Drosophila melanogaster: one gene and its partners. The gene in region 2 interacts genetically with the main gene of each other region. Each region holds a gene or a part of one and is shown on either strand. Other genes may lie near its edges.

The links.
Region 1: of ATP7 (region 2) and Cog1, changing one suppresses a phenotype caused by changing the other (phenotypic suppression), as found in Drosophila melanogaster (one study listed by BioGRID).
Region 3: of ATP7 (region 2) and Grx1, changing one enhances a phenotype caused by changing the other (phenotypic enhancement), as found in Drosophila melanogaster (one study listed by BioGRID).

Annotation. Positions count from the first base shown.
Region 1 is NT_033777.3:12,213,104-12,222,080, forward strand, and holds Cog1 (component of oligomeric golgi complex 1), read right to left. Parts: upstream 6,584-8,977; 5' UTR 6,502-6,583; coding exon 6,368-6,501; intron 6,312-6,367; coding exon 5,629-6,311; intron 5,561-5,628; coding exon 4,503-5,560; intron 4,444-4,502; coding exon 3,778-4,443; intron 3,584-3,777; coding exon of another isoform or gene 3,560-3,583; exon of another isoform or gene 3,530-3,559; intron 2,851-3,529; coding exon 2,731-2,850; 3' UTR 2,480-2,730; coding exon of another isoform or gene 2,324-2,479; 3' UTR 1,777-2,323; coding exon of another isoform or gene 1,708-1,776; 3' UTR 689-1,707; downstream 1-688. Other genes in the region: CG14742 (uncharacterized protein), read left to right, coding at 1,708-1,776, 2,324-2,479; CG4860 (uncharacterized protein), read right to left, coding at 6,909-7,882, 8,013-8,252, 8,314-8,347. UniProt on the Drosophila melanogaster protein: Required for normal Golgi function.
Region 2 is NC_004354.4:11,852,611-11,858,592, reverse strand, and holds the start of ATP7 (ATP7), read right to left. Parts: upstream 3,572-5,982; 5' UTR 3,242-3,571; coding exon 2,272-3,241; intron 1-2,271. Other genes in the region: CG10347 (uncharacterized protein), read left to right, coding at 3,935-5,192, 5,252-5,736.
Region 3 is NT_037436.4:18,866,057-18,870,557, forward strand, and holds Grx1 (glutaredoxin 1), read left to right. Parts: upstream 1-3,173; 5' UTR 3,174-3,274; intron 3,275-3,281; exon of another isoform or gene 3,282-3,370; 5' UTR 3,371-3,446; coding exon 3,447-3,590; intron 3,591-3,650; coding exon 3,651-3,755; intron 3,756-3,820; coding exon 3,821-3,916; 3' UTR 3,917-4,001; downstream 4,002-4,501. Other genes in the region: CG14074 (uncharacterized protein), read left to right, coding at 283-1,293; Dysb (dysbindin), read left to right, coding at 1,824-2,589, 2,648-2,748; Blos3 (biogenesis of lysosome-related organelles complex 1, subunit 3), read left to right, coding at 4,252-4,314, 4,372-4,501.

The DNA of each region.
Region 1 (8,977 bases), on a different chromosome or scaffold from region 2:
TGGCTCCGCGCTAGTTGCCATGTGCAGATTTCGACTTGTTGAGTTCTCCTTGTCGTGGTGCTTTCATTTTCATTGCATGATATCGGTTTCACTTACGGCTCACCATATAGAACATCTAATTTAATTAGCTGACACCAACGGGTGTTCCGACTTATTCTCTTGCTCGCTCTCCATTTTCCAACATCTGTTGTGGGGGGAAAAGTGGGAGAGCCGAAGGAAAAGCTGCAGGAAAAGTAGAATGTCTCATTATGTATGCATTGAGTTTCCAGTGTCCGTTGGCAGCGACAGAAAAACTTTTTGATAACTGTAATTAGCATATGAAGAAAATCAGACTCGGATAGTTTTCTTTGGAACTCAGGCAGGTGGAAAGCTGTTAAATGTATTCCAGTCCAATTAGGAATCCGCCTGCTGAACTGGCGTAGTAATTAAAGCAGTAAAGTTAAATCAGCATGGTAAGTTTTTCGTTTTAAAGTTATCCAATGTAATTTGATAAACACAAATGCTATTTAATTTAATAAAATGATTTATCAATGATAAAAGTAACCAAATTTGTAATGTAATGCTTACATTTTGGTCTATTGAAAGATAATTATAAATATATGATTATTATATAATCAAAACCAGATATATGATATATGTATATACCGGCCATAGGAACAGTCGGATAAGTTATTCATATGCATAGTTTATTCGGTAAGCTTTATTAAATATGTTCAATATACTTATATTACAACTTTAAACAAGTCTATGCAAATAATAAAAATCAGATATTATACATAAGAAAGTGCGATGGAGATTAAATGGCATATCTGTGCTGATTAACTTTTTTTTAGGTTGCCCATAGTCTCCAATTAAATTACTTCCCTAGACCCATAATCAATTCTACCGTTCCTTGGTTTATCTCCCTCATTCAATCTTCCTGTTCTTCCCTTTCTGCATACATTAGCGCTTTCAATCGCCTTCTGGGCCATTTCTTTCCGATTGAAATCCGCCAAAATCTCTCTTGGCCTAGGCTATCACCACCATCAATTCGCGTTGCATCTATAAATAGCATCTTGTTGCACTGTCCGTATCCGTGGGATTCGCGAGTGAGCCGTGGGATTACCGACGTATTGCCTTCCATTGGCCGCAGACCAGAAATGCGAGAGGTGGCCAATGTCAATGCCATGGCCATGGGCGCATATGGCCAAATGCAAATGCGAAACCGAAACAGAAACAGAATCGAAATCGCAATCGGAAGCAAAGAGCCAAAAAGCGATGGAGGAGAAGCACTACAAAATAATCCAACGGTCGCCGCAAGAGAAACACTTCCCATTTCTTCCGGCCGCAAAGAGAGGTGCCCGGGCGGTGATTAAATCAGTTAAGAGCCATTGGCCATTGCAGCCAGGTCTCCTCTACCCGGAGCCAAATCCCCCTGGTCATCGCAATCAACCCATTCCCCTCTCCCATTGCCGCCCAAATTCATTGGCGCCTTTCCCTTCCGCCTTTGGCTGTTGCGCATTTTGTGTTTTGCTCTCAACGTTCATTTTGGCCTTCTTTTTCTGGCCAAATGATTTAATTTCATGTATTTCGCTGTGCGGCAATGGCGATGCTTATTAGTTGCAATTTGCCAGCTCTGGCATAAGTTTACTCTAGCCAAAGCCAACAGCAAGCACCGCAAACTAAACCAAATAAATAAAATAATTGCCTTCCCAAGAAGTTGATAGAATGGGCAAAAATAAGGGTGGTGGCGGCGGCGGTGGAGGAGGAGGTGGCGGTGGTGGAGGCGGGGGCAATGTAAGCAATATTTGTGTTATGCAACTTGCGTTCTAATTGTGAGTCTAACTACTTGTAATCCTCATCTTAGTGCCAGCTCATTCAGCTCATGGTCCCACCAAACTTCCAAGTAGCAATTTAACAATATTTAACTTTATCCCTACTTTCCAACAATTTTAAAATAATTCGTTGACCAACTTTCTAAACATAAATTTATAAAAGCATTGCCAAATTAAAAAAAAAAACTTTAGTGCACTAGAACTATTAACTTTGAGATTAAGCCTTGCATACAGTTTTTTAGGAAGGTGTTTCGTGCTACCTGTATTAATACGTTATTGTAGACCACAAATAATGGTTAGATTACATTTTATCATGCGGATAATAGCTGCTGCTGTATGTAATTAGAGAACTCCTGGTGCTTTGGAACAAGGGTCCCCCCATTGCAATCCTGGCACAACTAACCTTTTTCTCATTTACTGACTTCGCTGGGCAACCTTAAACAACCGTGGCTCGTTATTTGCTCGGTCCCAGCTCAAAGCGAAATCTTTCCGTGTTTCTTTGCCCACAGAAAAAGGGCGGCGGTGGTGGCGGAGGCGGCGGCGGAGGTGGCTCCGGAAATAAAAACAAAGGCGGCGATGGAGGCGGCGGTGACAAAGGTGGAGCCAAGAAAGGACAAGACCAAAAGGCAGCCGCAGGCGGTGGCAAGAAGGGAGGCAAGAAATAGCAACCGTGGCAACATCAAAGCGCATTAAAAATTACAAATTTAGAGTTAAGTTGAAATTAAAAGTGATATCAGGGTGTATATACGAGTATCTCTATAATGTATGTGACTTTCTTACAATTTACTGGGCGCTGCCCGCCTCTTCTACTACAAGTACGTTCGGATATATTTATGTAGGTTAAGCTTAACAATAGAAGAGCATCCCATCCGCATTCCGCTCGAATGCACTTCACAGGCCACTTGATTTGAATCCTCTAGCGAAACCACTCCTGGGACATCCCAAAGAAGGAAGCTGCGCTCGATTTGGATTTGCTGCTGTCTCCCTTGCGGGCTCCATTGCCACCCGACTTCCTCGTCGGCGTCGTTGTCGCCGTCTGAGATAGAGGGATAAAATGGGAGATGTTATTAATTAATTAGTACTATTAATTGGTAGTTTGTCTGATTAATCTGTTAATTTGCCGCTGGACTCTCAGATTTATAGCGAGCAGCGAACAGCAACAAATGGAAAGCAAACATAATTAGAGAACGATTTATACCGGCGGAGATCGCAGCTAATTACAAAACATGCGAGTAACGGCCAAGTAGCCACTGCCATAAATTAACATTTGCCCAGCGATTTGATTTCAATAATTGCAGCGATTCATTAATTACCATCTAAGGCACTCGTATACGCGCCCGTAATATATACATAATCATTCTGCCGATGTTCTGGCCATCCACTTGGAAATTTCGGGTTGGGTTTCAAGCGAAACTTTTGCCAACCACTTGCGGACGAAGTAGGGAGGAGTGGTTGGGAAATGGCGGCAGAAAGTTGCACCTAATTAAAATTTGTCTTGCGGCATTCTGGTTTATTTATTGCTGGATGGACCAAATTAGTTTAATTAAACTGCTGCTTCAGCTTGAAGAGGTTTTCAAATTTGGAAATGAAGCACTTAATAAGAGCAATGCGGCTATTTTGCTCACTCTTAATAAGTATTGGCTAAACAATCAATATCATGCAGCATGCAAACGAGGAATGATAACAAAGTATCAACAATCAAATAACATTCCTACCCAACCAGAGCAAATGTTGAAACTATTGACTTAGGAATGCAGTCGATAGAAATCCTAGGAAAGAAACATGGGAACGTAGCATTATAACTTGATAAAGTTGGTAAAAGATAAACTTTATATCTATTAGGGCTGTCGGTTTAATGCTTCAGCTAATCAATTTAGAATTTTAAATACACCACCAAATAGTAAAGCTTATACTCTTGAAGCCAACACCGACAGCCCTCTATATCATCACACTTTATACTCACTTTCTCAACTGGCTCTTGGATCGGAGATTTCCGCTCTGCGCTAGTAACTCTTCCGGCAGCTTGGGGCATCACAATGGGCAGCAGCGGGAACCACAGCGACGTGGATCCGGAAGAACTGAGACACAGCACATTGGGATCTGCTTCATGGGCCAAAGAACTGGCAGCAGCTGCACCCTGACTGGGAGCAGCTGCCGAGGGAGTAAGCACTCCCAGTTCACCCTGCAGACGGCTTGCAGCTCGGGACACATGAGCGGTTATATGCTCGGCAAACAGCTCGAAGTCAAAGGGATCTATGTAGTCGCGCAGTTGGTTCTGCTGGGCGTGGATTTGGTCGTAGAGAGTCCTCTCCTCACGTGAAATGGCGAACACGCGCTCCAGGAACTTAAGATCAAAGTATAGTTGCAGGGCAATATTCTGACTGGCTTTGGTGCATTCCGCGTGGGCCAATCCCTCGTAGTGGCAGAGCAGTTTCCCTATGAGCCGCTGAATGAATGCTTGCAATACCTTGGGTGGCAGAGTTTGGGGAACAACCGAATTCAATGCCTGAATTAGCTGATGAAGATACGTCTGCAGAGAGAGTCGCGGCTGACTGGGGATTCGAATGGTTGACTGAACACTCTGCTCCTGGTCCTCGTCGCGCTGTTCCAGTGTCAAGGTCTGCCAAAGCTACTCAAGAATATAATTATGTTACGTTACAAATAAATTTCTTCTTTCCATATAATTACCGCAAAGTCGCTGAGAACCACTTCATGATTAATGACCTTTGGCAGTTTCTCTTCGCAATTGTGGCCGGCCAACACATCGTCAACGATGACCAGCCAAAAGGATAGCATCTCCTTTTCGATCAGGCCACAAATGCGCTGCCAATGCTCAATTCCCAATCCCGCCGAGTTGTCAGTCCACTGCCGCCAACTGGACGGCTGGCAGAAGCACAACTTTAAATTGGGGCACAGCTCGACCAAGGCGAGACTATTCCTCAAAGCCAGGAGCAGAGCAGGGCGTTCCCTTAGCTCTAAACCTTTCAAATTGGATAAATACTCTGTCAGCTGTTCCTCGGCCGTTTCGCGCAGAAACTCGATAAGTGAAACCTTGTCCTCAGCCCTCGTCGTTTGTTCTTGTAACATCACATTCAGCTCCTGTACGATATCCGCCAGATGTGAGTCAAAACGTTTACACAGTTCTATTGTTGCGCCGTCATAGCCCTTCGTCCGATTTGCCAGTCGCTTTGGTTGATCGCTGAGTGCTGCCGCCAAGCTTAAAGGCAAATCATCGCTCTGCTCCCGCCAAATTTGTAGAGGCGGTTGCGACTGACCGGCTTCAATAAGCAATAGTACCTGTTCGTAGGTCAGCTTCATGGCGGAAGCCCAGCTGCTGCGAATTATCTCTCGTACTCTGGCGTTGATCAACGGCACGTACTTTCTGGCGTAGAAGTCTAACTGGCTACGCTTAAGATGCAATTGCTGTTCTAGGCGAACGAAATCCGGTCGACCATTAGTTCTGGCCGCGGACTTAATGTCCTGGATGGTCTGCATGTTGGTGACTAGTGCAAAGACTTGCTGCAAGTGAGCCGCTGCCAAGGCGTTCATTTTATCTAGCCATTGTTGAAGTGAAGAACCCAACTGCTCAGGTGTTAGCTGAGGTACATCAAATTGTGGCTTAAAACCAGCGATGATTTCGGGTAAAAGATGAACCAGCTGGCGCTCGCTACTCTCCATTCGGTTGATGCTGGGTGGACACGTAGAAGAGGCACACTCCTCCAAGCGGCTAAAAAGAAGGCTATAACCTGTACGAGAGAAAAGACCGATTGTTCCAATAATAATGTTGTGTGCCTATCTGCGAATGGAAACATACCCAAAAGACACTTGTCCAGAAGCTCCACGGTGCTGTTGAGCACGTTTAAGCTAGCCAAAATGCGATCCTTGACGCGACGTGGCTCCGATGGACCGCTTTGCAGGCAGTTCAGAAAGGCTGAGGAGCGCAGGTTCAAGAAGGATTTCAGCACAGTACTCAAATCGCTTTTGTCTAGCAAGAGAAGGCTCTGCAGGCAGTCCACAGTCATTTCTTGTAGGAGTTCCTCCCTCTCCAGTGCGGTCAGTATGGCTTGTTTGATGGTCACGTGAAAGGGACGCAGGATTTCCCATTGCTTGCGCGCTACCGGTAGTTTCTGCATCAGGGCACTCTGGCCGTCCAGTTGCAAGCCCGTGCTGATGTGGCGACTGAAGATGAACAACTCAGTAGCGGCATAGAAGCGATCGTTGTCCAAGTGCGTCCAGATTAGTTCCGGCAGGGCAGTAAGCAACTTAATCTGAGCCATGGTGCCGTAGTAGGTCTGCAGCTTTTTTCCGGCGTTCCTCTCCTTCAGTGCGGCATCTTTAGCACTTGCATTGGCAGTTGACTGGAAGCCCAGGAGCTGCTGCTCGTTTAGACTGCGGCAATTGGCCTGCACGTGTCGCACTTGCTCCATAAGTGTCCCGGCCGACGTTTGCATCGCAGCAATGGTGTCAGCCGCCTGCAAAAGATCTCGGTACCGCTCCCTTAAAGATTTAGAATGTTTAAGCAGCAAATCTTCTGAAGGTGCCACATCACTCACCCGACATGAGTGCGCAACTCCTCGCGCTTGTTCTCCACCACCGACTGGATCTTTTTGTGCACCTCGTCTATCTCGGACACGCTGTGCTGCTCAAACAGCGTGTCCACGTTCAGGTTTAACAAATTGGCCGTCATTTAGCCGTCAAATTAGTTTTATTTAAATTAAGAAAACAATAACAAGGGAGCAGCTGTAATAAAATCGAATTATGTATCGATGACTGGCAACATCGATATTTTCTCTCATGACTGTCTATGACTGTTAAATTTATGTTAGTTTACATTTCTCTGTTGGTAAAAATGTTAGATATGCTGTCATGTGCAAGCCGTTACATTTCAATATAACATAAAGAGTTATAGTTAGGGGAATTACCTCATTTAATCGAAAAAAGATATTTTTCTAAATCCAGGTTTCATTTGTTTAAATATACTTTATTAAATGCATTTGTCTGGCATAGATAAACTAATTTACATACACAACAAGTGTAAAAGCAAGAATTCTGATTGGTTTGGCAGCAGTAATAAAGAAAAACCAACAATGGCTTTCACTCCTTTCCCAATTCCCGCAGCACTGCGTTGGCGATCACAATTCTTTGGATCTCCGAGGTTCCCTCGTAAATCTCTGTGACGCGGGCGTTGCGGTAGTAAAGCTCCGCAGGCAGATCGGTGGTGTACCCCATCCCACCCAGGATCTGGATGCACTGGTGGGCACAAAAGGTGGCGGACTCGGAGGCATGCAGCTTGGCCATGGCCGCCTCCTTTGTGATTGGCAGCCCATTATCCTTCAGCCAAGCGGCACGCCACGTTAGCAGCCTTGAGATCTCCACCCGCGTGGCCATGTCGGCCAGCTTCTGCTGGATGAGCTGCAACCGTGCCAGATGCTTTCCGAAGGCCACCCTCTTCTGCGAATAATCCACGGCTAGTTCCAGGGCAGCTTGTGCGATACCGGTGGCCTGGGCGGCTATACCGATCCTGCCACAGTCCAAGGACTGCATGGCGATCTTGAAGCCATCACCGGCAGCTCCAAGGACCCGGGATCGCGGCACGTGAACGTCCTCCAGCACCAGCTGGCAAGTCGAAGTCGCGCGCATGCCCATTTTGCTTTCCTTCTTGGCTATGGAGAGTCCTGGAACATCCTTGGGCGTAAGAAAGGCAGTGATTCCCTTGTGTTTCATGCTCTTGTCCACCGTGGCAAAGACGATACCCCCGCTGGCCTCCTTGGAGTTTGATATCCACGCTTTAGTGCCGTTTATTTGGTAGCTGTCCCCTTGCAGCTTGGCCGTGGTGCTGGCAGCTCCTGCATCCGATCCGTTTCCAGGTTCCGATAGTGCATAGAAGGCGATGTGCTCACCCTGGGTGTACGGCACCAGGAAATCCTGCTTCTGCTGCTCGGTTCCATGCTGCTGCACTGCACCCAGGTACAGGTTATTCACGCCCATCACAATGGACACGGCGGCGTCACCACGAGCCACCTCCTCCATGCCAATCGCGTAGGCCTGGTAATCCAATCCGGAACCACCTGAAAAATCAATATTTAATGAATGGAATCTAGTAGTATGATCTATTTATATACCATTTCAAAAATGAAAACATCACATATTTTATGTTATGTAAATATTGTAAATATTATAATTGAAATAGGAACTCACCATACTCCTCTCGAACCGTCACTGACATGAGACCGAGTTCTCCCAACCGTCGGACCTGTTCCGCCGGATAAAGCTCCTCCCGGTCGTGGTGTCGCGCTTTGGGGGCCAGTTCCGCATTGGCGAACTCCCGGCAAGTCTTCTGGAGAATCTGGTGGGTCTCGGAGAGGGCGGCCAGGCATGCGATTCCCCGGTTTCCACCAGCGATTATCCTCGCACTCCATGCGCCGCTCGAGCGTTGACCTGCAAAGACGGAGGCGGCAAATCGATCATCCAGTCAGCCGGGAATCACCCAGTTCCTCACCCAACGTCCGCGCCACTCTGATCAGCTGCTGCATTCCGTCGCCAACTGATCCCAAGCCCGTGGTGCCGGTTGCGATCGAGGTAGTGAAAGCTTTTTCGCACTCGTCGACGAGCCGATCGAAATACAACCGAGGAAAACAGCTTTTATACGCAGCTTTTTGAGGCGAAGTTCATGGGAGGAGATTGAAAGGGGGTCCCGTTTATTAAAAACTACTAATCGATTTTGTAAAATGGTTCTTTTAAATTGATTTTAATTGAGTATAAGAATTACTAAAATCATTTTAGTTGTTTCAAATTTGTAATTTATAATCGGTTTTTAACAAATTTTAAAGTTTCATTTAAAAATGGTATTGATAAGCGCCGAAGTCACCACTGCGCCACTGTGTTCGTATAAAGTGTTTCAACTATATAGTACTACCTAAAATGATCGAAAGTATTTTGTTTTGGCGCTAACTTTGTGAAATTACCAAGTTTCTGGGTTAAAGATCATTTGAAAGAACAGAAAGGGAAAGCGGTTCAATGGATTTCGATAAAGAAGAATCCACCAAGAACCCTGTTGATTTCCTATACCGGCTGAATACGAAATTAGGCAATGCTAATTTCCGATACACACCCACTTTCATTGAAAGGTACAAGGTGCATTTTACCCACATGAAACACAAGTA
Region 2 (5,982 bases):
CCAATTTCGACTACCGACTTGCGGCAAACAAACTGCAAACAAGCCAAGTAACAATTGGCAAACAACAAGTTAAGCTAGTTAAATGAAGTTTAAGTGCTAATTGATTGAAAGATAAGAAGCCGCACGGAATTGGACCAATCCATATGGCAGAAGTCCAACTTCGCTGGCCCAAAACATCTATGAACTCTTTCAGAAGCATGACTGGTACGTAATTGTTTTTCGAAAATGATTACAATACAATTAAGTATCTTAATAAGTATATATGTAAATTCAAAATAAACAAATAAACTTTAAAAAAACAAGCGATATTGTACTTTATATACCATCATACAGCTGCCAGCGATTGATATTCATGTGGGCTCGCTGTTTTCATACCACTTTTGAATGTCTGAAATTATTTTCAGTGTCATTTAATCGCAACAGTTTCGCTCGCTTTTCTCCACCGTGCGCATGTCTCCATGTCGAATGCGAAAAAATCGAAAACCAGTTCCATTGCAATCATAATTACGAGGCTCCCCATTTATGCATTTTCATTTTTGAATTTGCAATTGAGCTTCTCAAAACGGCGCACGTACATCTAGTACATACATAAATACGGGTATGCAAACCGATATTCGTAAATCAGCCAGAATTCAATGTGAATGTGGTGGATCAAAGCCAAGTTATTGCATAATTCGCCACTAGTTCACTAATTTCAAATCAACATTTTTGAGCTGGCAAAGCAAAAGTAAAGTAAAAACAGCTCTAAATCAAAGTGAAGGTGAATGAAACTAGAAATGCACTCGAAGAAAAAGTGCGTGCTTAACATAAAATAAAAGAAACTTGCTAAACATTGTACGATTCGTGCTTTTAAATATTAGTAGATTTTATATGCTGATCATATGCCGAAGTAGATAGCACTCTTCTATATAATACTTATATCATAGTTAGCCCCATTTCTCGCTGTGTACGAAGTGGAAGTGGAGTTCGTGGCCACGCATGCGGAGCAGAAAGACTGCAAAGCTGAAAAAGAGAGAGGTTTCCCTCTTTTTTTCCAGACAAAAGCGAGATTAGTTCCTCGCTCGTTTGCCCGCCAATCGCGGGTATATAAATTATTATACATTCATACATATATATGTACATACATTATATGTATGTACTTGTATTTCAAGGCGTATTGGAGCTCTTTCACTTTTGTTTTGATTTTTCTTTGGCCAGGCGGACTTTCAGTTTCATGGCTTAAATGCTAATTGGTAAATGCGATTGGCAGTATAAAGTTTATGAAAACAAAGAGCTCAAATCATTTCATTTGTTCTTTGTCAGCTAATCGCATACATAAATATGTATATATAAGTTCTTCCTGAACACTCGCAAAAAACACGCTATAATCTGGCAAATAAAACTCGAGCTGCCAGCGCCCAACAAAACAATAATTATATTATGTGTTTTTTAGCGAATATCTTGAATATTTTAAATATCCCGACTCTCGGCTTGCCATTGAATTCCCCTCATCCAAGTGTTCCAGATAGCTTTACTGCCCACGCACACGAGCGTGGTGAATTCCAGCTATTTAATCTAGTTGCCACTGGCATTGTTTGCTGAAAGCATAGTTAGTAGTGTATGGTTTATAAAGTACATACATACATACATGCATATGAGTATAGTGCTCCTCGCACTTTCTTATCAACGAACCTGCCACCCTCCCCAGAAAAAAAAGCATAAAGTAAATCGAGTATATCAGTTGCAATAAACAATTGCTGGGCCAGTTTTCAATTGTGGAAATTGTGAAAAGCGAACAATAAAAAAAAAAAAAACATTTGCACCGATTCTACTCGAACTCGATGCTAGTAGGTTAATAAAAAGGAACAGCTGTCGCTTTCTGCGAAATGCAAAACAAATAAGGGCATTCTACGAAATTCCCTTGAATGGCTTATTTAATATTTGTTATTGCCACAAGTTGCATCAATTAACGATTGCCAATAGTTTGCTTCTGTTACAGCTCATTACTCCCATTGCATTATTCGATCCCTTAAGATATACAAGATATATGATCGAATTTAACACCTGTGCTCGTTGGGCAAGAATAAAGCGCAACAGGTGCATATCGGTTGATGGCCCCATTCCAGGTGTTTATTATTATAAATATTGCATAACAATTGGCACTGCCACTTGTGGAATGCTTCCAGACTCGCAATTCGATTCGAATGCATGACCCAGAACGTGATTTGAAATTCTCTCGGGATAAACTAGTTCCAGAAAGCCACTTAGCTTAAGTACACAAAAAACACTCACCCCTCTTTGTTAGCAGTGTGACGGAGGCGGTGGTCACGCCCCTTATTTTAAGCACATGACTCTCGATCTTGTTGACGCAGGAGGCGCAAGTCATGCCCATAATCTCCAACTCCACCTCCGCCTCGCCGTTGTCCGGCTCATCGATGAGTTCGGTGGGGAAGCCCAGCTCCGTGATTGATTTCGCTATATTCTCGGCCGTCACAACATTGGCATTGAACTTGACCTCCGCCTTGGCGGCCAGCAGGGCTACCAGGATGCTGTCCAGGCCGTAGATCTTCTTGCAGTGCTTCTCGATGGCGGCCACACAGCTGGCGCACGTCATGCCTCGGATGTGCAGAAAGCATTTGGTCAGTAGCTCCTGTTCGACGGGTATGGCCACTGCCGAACCATTTTGAGCATATGAAGGAGGTGGAGGAGTAGGAGTTGCCCTCTTTTTGGGTGATGAGGCGGGGGCGGGCGACGGCGATTGGGATGGCGATCGAGGTTCCTGCACACTAGCCTCAAAACCCATGTCATCGATGAGCTCGGCTATCTGGGCGGGATCATACTGGGCGGGATCGTACTGAACGCGGGCATTCTTGGCCGCCAGTTGCACCTCAATGGAATGGATGCCCGGCTTGGTGCCGATATTGCCTTCGATGTTGCGCACGCACGACTGGCAGGTCATGCCCACCACCCGTATGTTGGTCCATGCGCTGGCGGGAGTTTCGGGAGGATCTGCTGCATCCCCTGGATAGCTGCACTCGAAGCCCATGTCGTCGATATCGCTGGCTATCCGGGCGGGATCCGTCTGTCGGGGATCGTAGTCGAAATAGCCCGCATTCTCCTCGAGAATGACGCGCACGCCAAGGATTCCCGATTTCTGGCCAATGTGCTCTGTGATATTGCGCACACACGACTGGCAAGTCATGCCCACAATGGGCAGGCGCACCGTGGACATCGTCGCTTCTACTCTCTCGTCACTTGGCATCCTCAATGTGCATTATTTTGGGTGGGCGGAACACGACGATGCGGAATTACTTGATATACTTGAGATTTTGAACTTTTGAGTTGCCCCTCGCCCTATCGCACGTACCGAATTGTGTCACTAAACTAACTTTGTGGAGTCGGGTGAGTCGTATTGCAGCTACTACTGGATTTGTTGTGGTGGAGTAGTCGCCTCCCGCCAACGCTTTTCACTTGGCCAAACTCCACACGAAACTCACAATTTTGCGTTCTTGTGTCTAATTTTTCAATTAGCAGGCAACAGCTGCTCCGCTCCCGTTATGTTTTTCCCACGGCACGCAACTACCGATGGCCGTCCGTCGATAGGCAGGCGCTATCGAGATGAGCTAGATACCGATGTGGGCTATATCGATACATTGCTTAAACTTTCGATTCGATAAAAAAATATGTGACTAACTAATGTTTTCTTTTTAGCTATTTAATTGTTTAGTTAAATTTCAAACTAAAAAAAGGAATCTTATTAGATTTGAAAATTGCCAAGGTATCGTACATATCCCCCACTTGTCGATAAAAAGTCGATACGAGTCACGGCCGAACGGTCATCTGCCATCTCTATCCGGTCTACTACCGATTTGATTTGATTTGTTTTGGAATATCTATCTCTATTTTTTCGAAATCTCCAATATAATCCAACTCAGCATTGGCGCAGTAAAGCAAGATGCCGGTGGTGGAACTGAAAGTGGATCGCAACCTGGTGTGCTCGGACTTTTCTGGCTACAAATTGGCATTCGATTCGGTGCCTGTTCTTCGCCAGGAACTTGGATGTGATGCCTACGTGCTGGATCCGAGCAGCAATCAGTTCTCGCTGCTGCACACGGAGCTCTTTGCCCGACACAATCACCTGGTAGCCGATCCATGGATGCGCCACTGCAGCTACTTCTTTAACAAGCGCCACCAGCTGGTGCAGTGCAACTACGATCTACAGACTGGACGCGCACGTGCCCAGCGCGTTGTCCTCACGGTGGACTATAGGGATCAGGGCGATGGGGAACTACATCGGTCGGGTGACTACAACTACACCATAGTTTTCGTTTCGGAACGATTCTGTGTGATCTGCGACGGTATAACCAGTTACCATCTGGTGGACACCGGCGACAGAACGCGCACCGATGTGCAGGAGTGGCAACGGATTACACGCTCGCCGGTGAATAATAACAGTGGTCATCGCGGCTTTGCACTCTTCGATGCCCGGCTGGATGTGCTGCAGGAACGTAAGCAGATCTCGCTGGTGGCCGGTCATGTGGCACGCCGTGATGCAGTTGGCCAAGATCAGACGCACGTCTATTACATGGACTTGACCTGGGCACGGTGGACTCATTCGCCCACCAATGACGAGTGGTCATATAATATCTGTCAACGGCTGGAGACCACTGGCTCTGTGCACTACTGCGCCTTTGAGCCTCGCGCCGAGTCCCTAGTCATTGCCAGCAACCGCGATGTTCAGACTCCCGAGGAGCGTCGGGCAGCCGATGAAGCAGCCGCTGCCCGCTTGAATTCCTCAGGTGATCACGATGGCCAGCTGGAAAATGGAGGTCCACCTAGTTATAGCTGGTCCCAAACGGATAATAATGTGCTCATTCGTTTCAATGTTCCTTCAACTGCATCCGCTAAAGAGTTTAACGTGAGCGGTTCTAAAACCACTGTCGTTGTAAAGCATCTGGATGAGGTTATATTCGACGAAGAGTTATACGCCAGTGTGGGAGATGATTTAAGTGCATTTAAGTTGGCTGAGAATGGCCTAGAATTGTCACTAACCAAGGCGGAGATTCAGAACTGGCCACGTTTGTTCGCGCAGAAGAAAGATGACGTAGCGGAGGAAGTACATCCAATGGAAGCTCCACCACTGCCCATTCCAAGTCTGCAGGATCCCGTTGAAGAATGTGACTTAATATCCGCTGATGAAGAAATGAAGATGGGTAAGCATTCTATTATACATCTGCTGCATATGCTTAATAAATACATTTTCTTCTTTTAGTACGCTTCAATTTGACCAGCGGGTGCATCACCCACACTATTTTTCTTGGTCCCCCGCCACTGGTGCTCACCACCACGCTGCGTCCTGGCTTTCCAGCCGCCTTTGCTACCCGCCAGGGCGTCGACGCCTCCATATGGCTACAGATGTACCAGCCCAGTCGTCCAGATGAATGGAGTGTCCGCCACGAGGGCCAGCTGCACGCCTTCGGCTACGTGCAGGCCTCCAAGGTTGTGCGGAAATTCACCGTCTGCAGTCCGGATCTGGATTACGTAGCCATATGTGACCCTGTACGCTACGTTCTCGTCTACTTTCCGGCTAATAATTCGGCTGATGGTCTCCGCAGGCGAAACGGACCTCCCGTCACCTTGGGTAAACAAAAGCTCATCACCTTGGGCAACGAGATTGACGAGATTCTGGGCATAACCACGGCAAACAATCTGATCACCGTTCTCTCCAAGAAAGAACTGATACACCTGCAGGTGTAGACGGTGTTCCGCTTTTCTTTTTTTCTCCATTTACTCTTAAAGAATTATGGCTTTACAATTCAAATTCTGAAATGTACATTTTTAAAAAATTAGTACTTTTAAAATTTATAATATAAATATATAAAAAAAATATATATATGTAAATTTTTAATCATATATGTATACAACTATGTTTATTGTTAAAGTTTATTTTTAAGTGCTTAACAATTTTTGATAATGGCGCCAAAGAAAAAAAAAGAGTGGCAA
Region 3 (4,501 bases), on a different chromosome or scaffold from region 2:
GTTTTGATTTCCACCGTTCCGTCATCGCCGCGAACTCATCGACGCTAATTTAACGCACATACAATAATCGCTTTATACTTAGTATTTTAAAAATACTTATAAGTAGCACTTACCGTCCGCGGTATTTTTTGTTTCGCAGCAATTGGTATTCAATTAAATGCCATAAACAAACACAAAAAATGGAAATGGACGCAGACCTAACAAAGTAAATATTTATATTACAATCCGATATATTTTTAATTAATTTGATGCTCTCACGTTAGTCAGGCGATTGCCGAGCTAATGCGCGAGATCGAAGGTGCAAATGCCAGTGTCAGCACCTCGAAACAAAGCGAACGCAAAGTGAATCCTCTGGGCAAACTAAACAAACGCTTCTTAGGCCGCACCATAAACACCGCGATTCGGCATAATGATAGAGAAAAGGAGCGCACACAGGCAAATTGCCGACAGAAGCTGCAGGATCTGGATGATGTGCACGAAAGGAGGAAGTCCAACTACTTTTACAGCCGCGATGCACCCAGAACTCAAAGTGTTGATAGAAGCAGAAGTTCCAGCAGAAGGCGCAGCAGGAGCCGCCACAAAAAGGCCAAGAAGCATCGCAGCCGAAGAAGAACTAGGAGCAGCAGAAGTTCAAGCCGCAGTCGAAGTCGCAGCAGTTCACATCGGCGAAAAAAGCGCAAAAAGAAGGTTAAAAAACACAAAAAATCACACAGAAGACGAAGAAGCAGCCAGAGCAGCAGCGGTTGCGATTGGGAATCCGCACCCAGCGAGTCGTTACGTATACCCCCGCCTTCAGATGTGTTCCTAAACCACTCCAAGCAAATGGCTCTTGCAGTGGCCATGGCCTATGGTCAATTACTAAACCCGAGCAGCCAAAAGAAAGCCAGCGAGTCTAAGGAACACTCCTCCTCTCCTATAAGCGATATATTCCGGGAACTTATGTCCGACGAAGAGGTGGACAAATCCGAGAAGCCCGAGGCCCTGTCCATTTCATCCAGCGACGAAGAGCCAAATGTTCTCACCATTAAAGTAAGCTCGAGCTCCGAGTCCAGCGGCAATAAATCAAGCTCGGACTCAGATTCAGAAGCAAAGAACAGCGTACGCAGCTGTATAACCCTAGAATCTGGTGATAATAGTGATATTGAGATAATTGAGTACCATGAAGAGCCCAAAAAAAAGGCATGTGAAACTGAACCTGCGTCTGAACCTGAATATCCGTCTCAATCGGATAGCACAAATCAACAAGTGGACGATAGCACAGCTGTCACTACAGTGGACCTGACCGAGGATTAATTAGGCTAAACTTTAGTTAGAGAATCGTTATGTAAGATCAGAATGAAATTTTAAAGGAAACAAACTGAAGTTGAACCAAACTAAGAATATTGTTTTTATATTATTATTACAGATATAAGCTCTGCCATAGATAGATTCATATTTGGTTGGTTTTTTTTTAAGTTATGTTTAATAGTAATATACTAAATATACCACCGAATGATACCCTGTTGTGTCTGTTTATAATATCAACTTTGGGTTCATTTTTTTATTTAAATTATAAAATAAAAATGCAAAATTTGAAATGTTAATAATACTTATTAGTTTTAGTAAGTAATAAAAACCACGTGCCAGAGCTCTTGCCATAGTTGATATGCCTCTCGTGTACGGCAACAAACTGTTGCTCTCTCTCTCTCTCTATGACCGATTTTCTCTCAGCACCTGCCCGAACAGCTGATTCTTTATTTACCACTCAATTTTCGATGGAAAACGCCAGCGCGAAGACAATTAGAAATCGCTAAGTTAAATAAATAGAGATCCGTTGTCGCAAGATGTTCGGGAACCTGAAAAAGAAGCTTAGCAGTGCGATCCAGGAGGGCCTGGTGATCTCGGAGAATCTGCAACAGCAATATCGCCAGCGTGTCAGTTCCGGAAACTCGGGGAGTAGCCAAGCCAGTGGGATTACGACCCCCATTTCGCCACTGGGCCTTAACGAAAGTCTGTCGTCCAGCAGGAGCAGTAGCCTCTCCCTTAGTGCTCCCTTCCAGCTAACCGATGGAGTGCCCAGTCACCTAAATGTGGCAGCTGGTTGCAGTTTGCTTGCCAAATACGAGGATGATTGGCAGCAGATTCATGGCGCCAACGAAAAGAACGCGGAGAAGGCTGCGCAGATTGCTAACCAAATCTCCGGCATCCAAGACCAGGCCAGCCATCAGCACAGGATCATGAGTGAGCTGAACAGTAGTCTGGCGGGAATTCCCACGTTGATAGCCCAACTGCAAAACAGCTCACAGGTTCTTAATTCCCTGGAGGAAATGGGTAAGCAGTTGGAGATTGAGCTCGAGAAGCTGGAGGATCTGCGCGAGGAGTGTGAGCTCCAAGAGTTCATCCTTGAGCAGCAGTTTCAGCTCTCCCGGCACAAGCAAAAGAAACTGAACGAACTGGAGCAGTATCGCCAGCAAATAGCCCAGAAACACCAATCCAAAATCAAGGATCAGGAGCAGACCCTCCTGAAGCTGCAGAGGGAACGACAGGCTGTCTTCGACGACGCCTTCCGGGAGGATATGGAGGAGTACAAACAGCGCGGCCAGCTGACAAGTTAGTCTGATAACATAAACAAATATGATGCACTAAGTTAACGCCCCTTTTTTTTTAGAAATTCAAACCACCAGCAACAAGTTGGCTCTGGAGGAAGTCGTCCTTGAAGCCAACGAAGTGGAGACAAAGGATGCTCTGGAACAATTTCTAAATGGCTAACTCACATTGTTTGCTCATCTCGCAAAAGACTACAATTTGTGCCTTTAAGTGCAATAAGCAGTGTAATTGTTAAAATATTTTAACGGGGACTTCTGAAAAATAACTTAATTTTTTCACAACATTTTCTTACTGCATTTGAACGTTAAACTATTACATTAAAGGGAATTGGACATACAAAGATTAATTATCAATGCCAAATTATTTTAACATACAAGGCATTTTAACATAATTTGTTAAAGTAATTTCAAAATTGCTTTACTATCTCGGACAAAATATAGGCAAATTTAATATAAGTTTCAAATAATGAAGTCAAAGTAAAAGTGAATTTTCAGGAATCCCCCTAGTGTATATGAAATTTGTTGATGTGGCACCGTCACTGCATGTTTTGACAGCGCTGAATAAACATTGTTTTTATAACAGTCGATTTTCTCTTTTCTTAATAGACACACAATAATAGATTCCTTAAACTTAGCATGATTATATGGAAATTAAATTAAATATTAAACATGTTTATGATTACGAGATGGTAATTTCACAACGTGGCAGCTCTGGCGAGAGCAACAACAGCTGATTGCTAATCAATGATTAAAAAACTGATTAAATTAGAGATAATTCTCCGCAGCTTACACTTGTCGCAGCTTTCATTGCTCCCCGCATTGCCCCCCAAGTTTCCGTACCCCCTCCTGGATTTCGAGCTTATGGGTGCAGTTGGATCCGCTTTGAGATCCCCAATAGTCGACATGTCCACCAAGCAGGCGAAATTCGTTGAAAACACCATTGCCAGCAACAAAGTGGTGATATTCAGCAAGACCTACTGTCCCTACTGCACGATGGCCAAAGAGGTGAGAAAGTTGCGAGACCTTGAAAAGTCCCAAACAGTGATAAACATCTTTGCGTTCCAGCCCTTCAAAAAGCTCAATGTGGACGCCACCATAATAGAACTCGATGGAAATCCCGATGGCAACGAAATTCAGGCAGTTCTGGGCGAGATTACCGGTGCCAGAACGGTGGGTGCACTAAATATTTTACATTATAAAGATTAATTATCATTTGTAACCTGTGTACTGTGTAGGTTCCCCGCGTCTTTATCGATGGCAAATTCATTGGCGGTGGCACTGACATCAAACGAATGTTCGAGACAGGAGCTCTGCAAAAATATTTCCAATAAATAGTGTTCTTACTCTGTTCAGAACTCCGTTTTATGTAAAAAGTTTGTTAATCTTCAAAGTCCTTAATAAATGCTTTTAAAATTTATGTTTTGCGCTTATTGAGATTACATCGTCTTCTGAGTAATGGGCAAAGTGTTACTAATACCATTCATTATCCGTTAATAATTTTTATGATTGTAGTTCTACGGATCTGTTAGCATAGATATCACAAACATAAGAATATCCCCTTCAACTGCGCCCATGTGAGCAACAGTTTGCAGTTTTAACTGATCTGGCAGCGCCGTAACTGCAGTAAATAAAAAATTGTTTACAATAGTATTTAATAAACTGAATGATGGCTGATTTGGTGAGCGGTGAAGCTTCTGAATCCGACGAGGAGCTGCAGGAGAAGAATAAGGTTGTTGAGGATATCATTTATAAATAACAGTCCAATAATAAAACCATTTTGTGACAGATTTTTGCTGCTGAAATTTCGGGCGAAGCCTCCGAAGAGGATGATGAAGACATTTACGAGCAAGGCCGAAGCAGCAACCAGGTCAACAGCACGGCTTCCATTTACCGGAATAATCTGCTTCAGCGGAAAC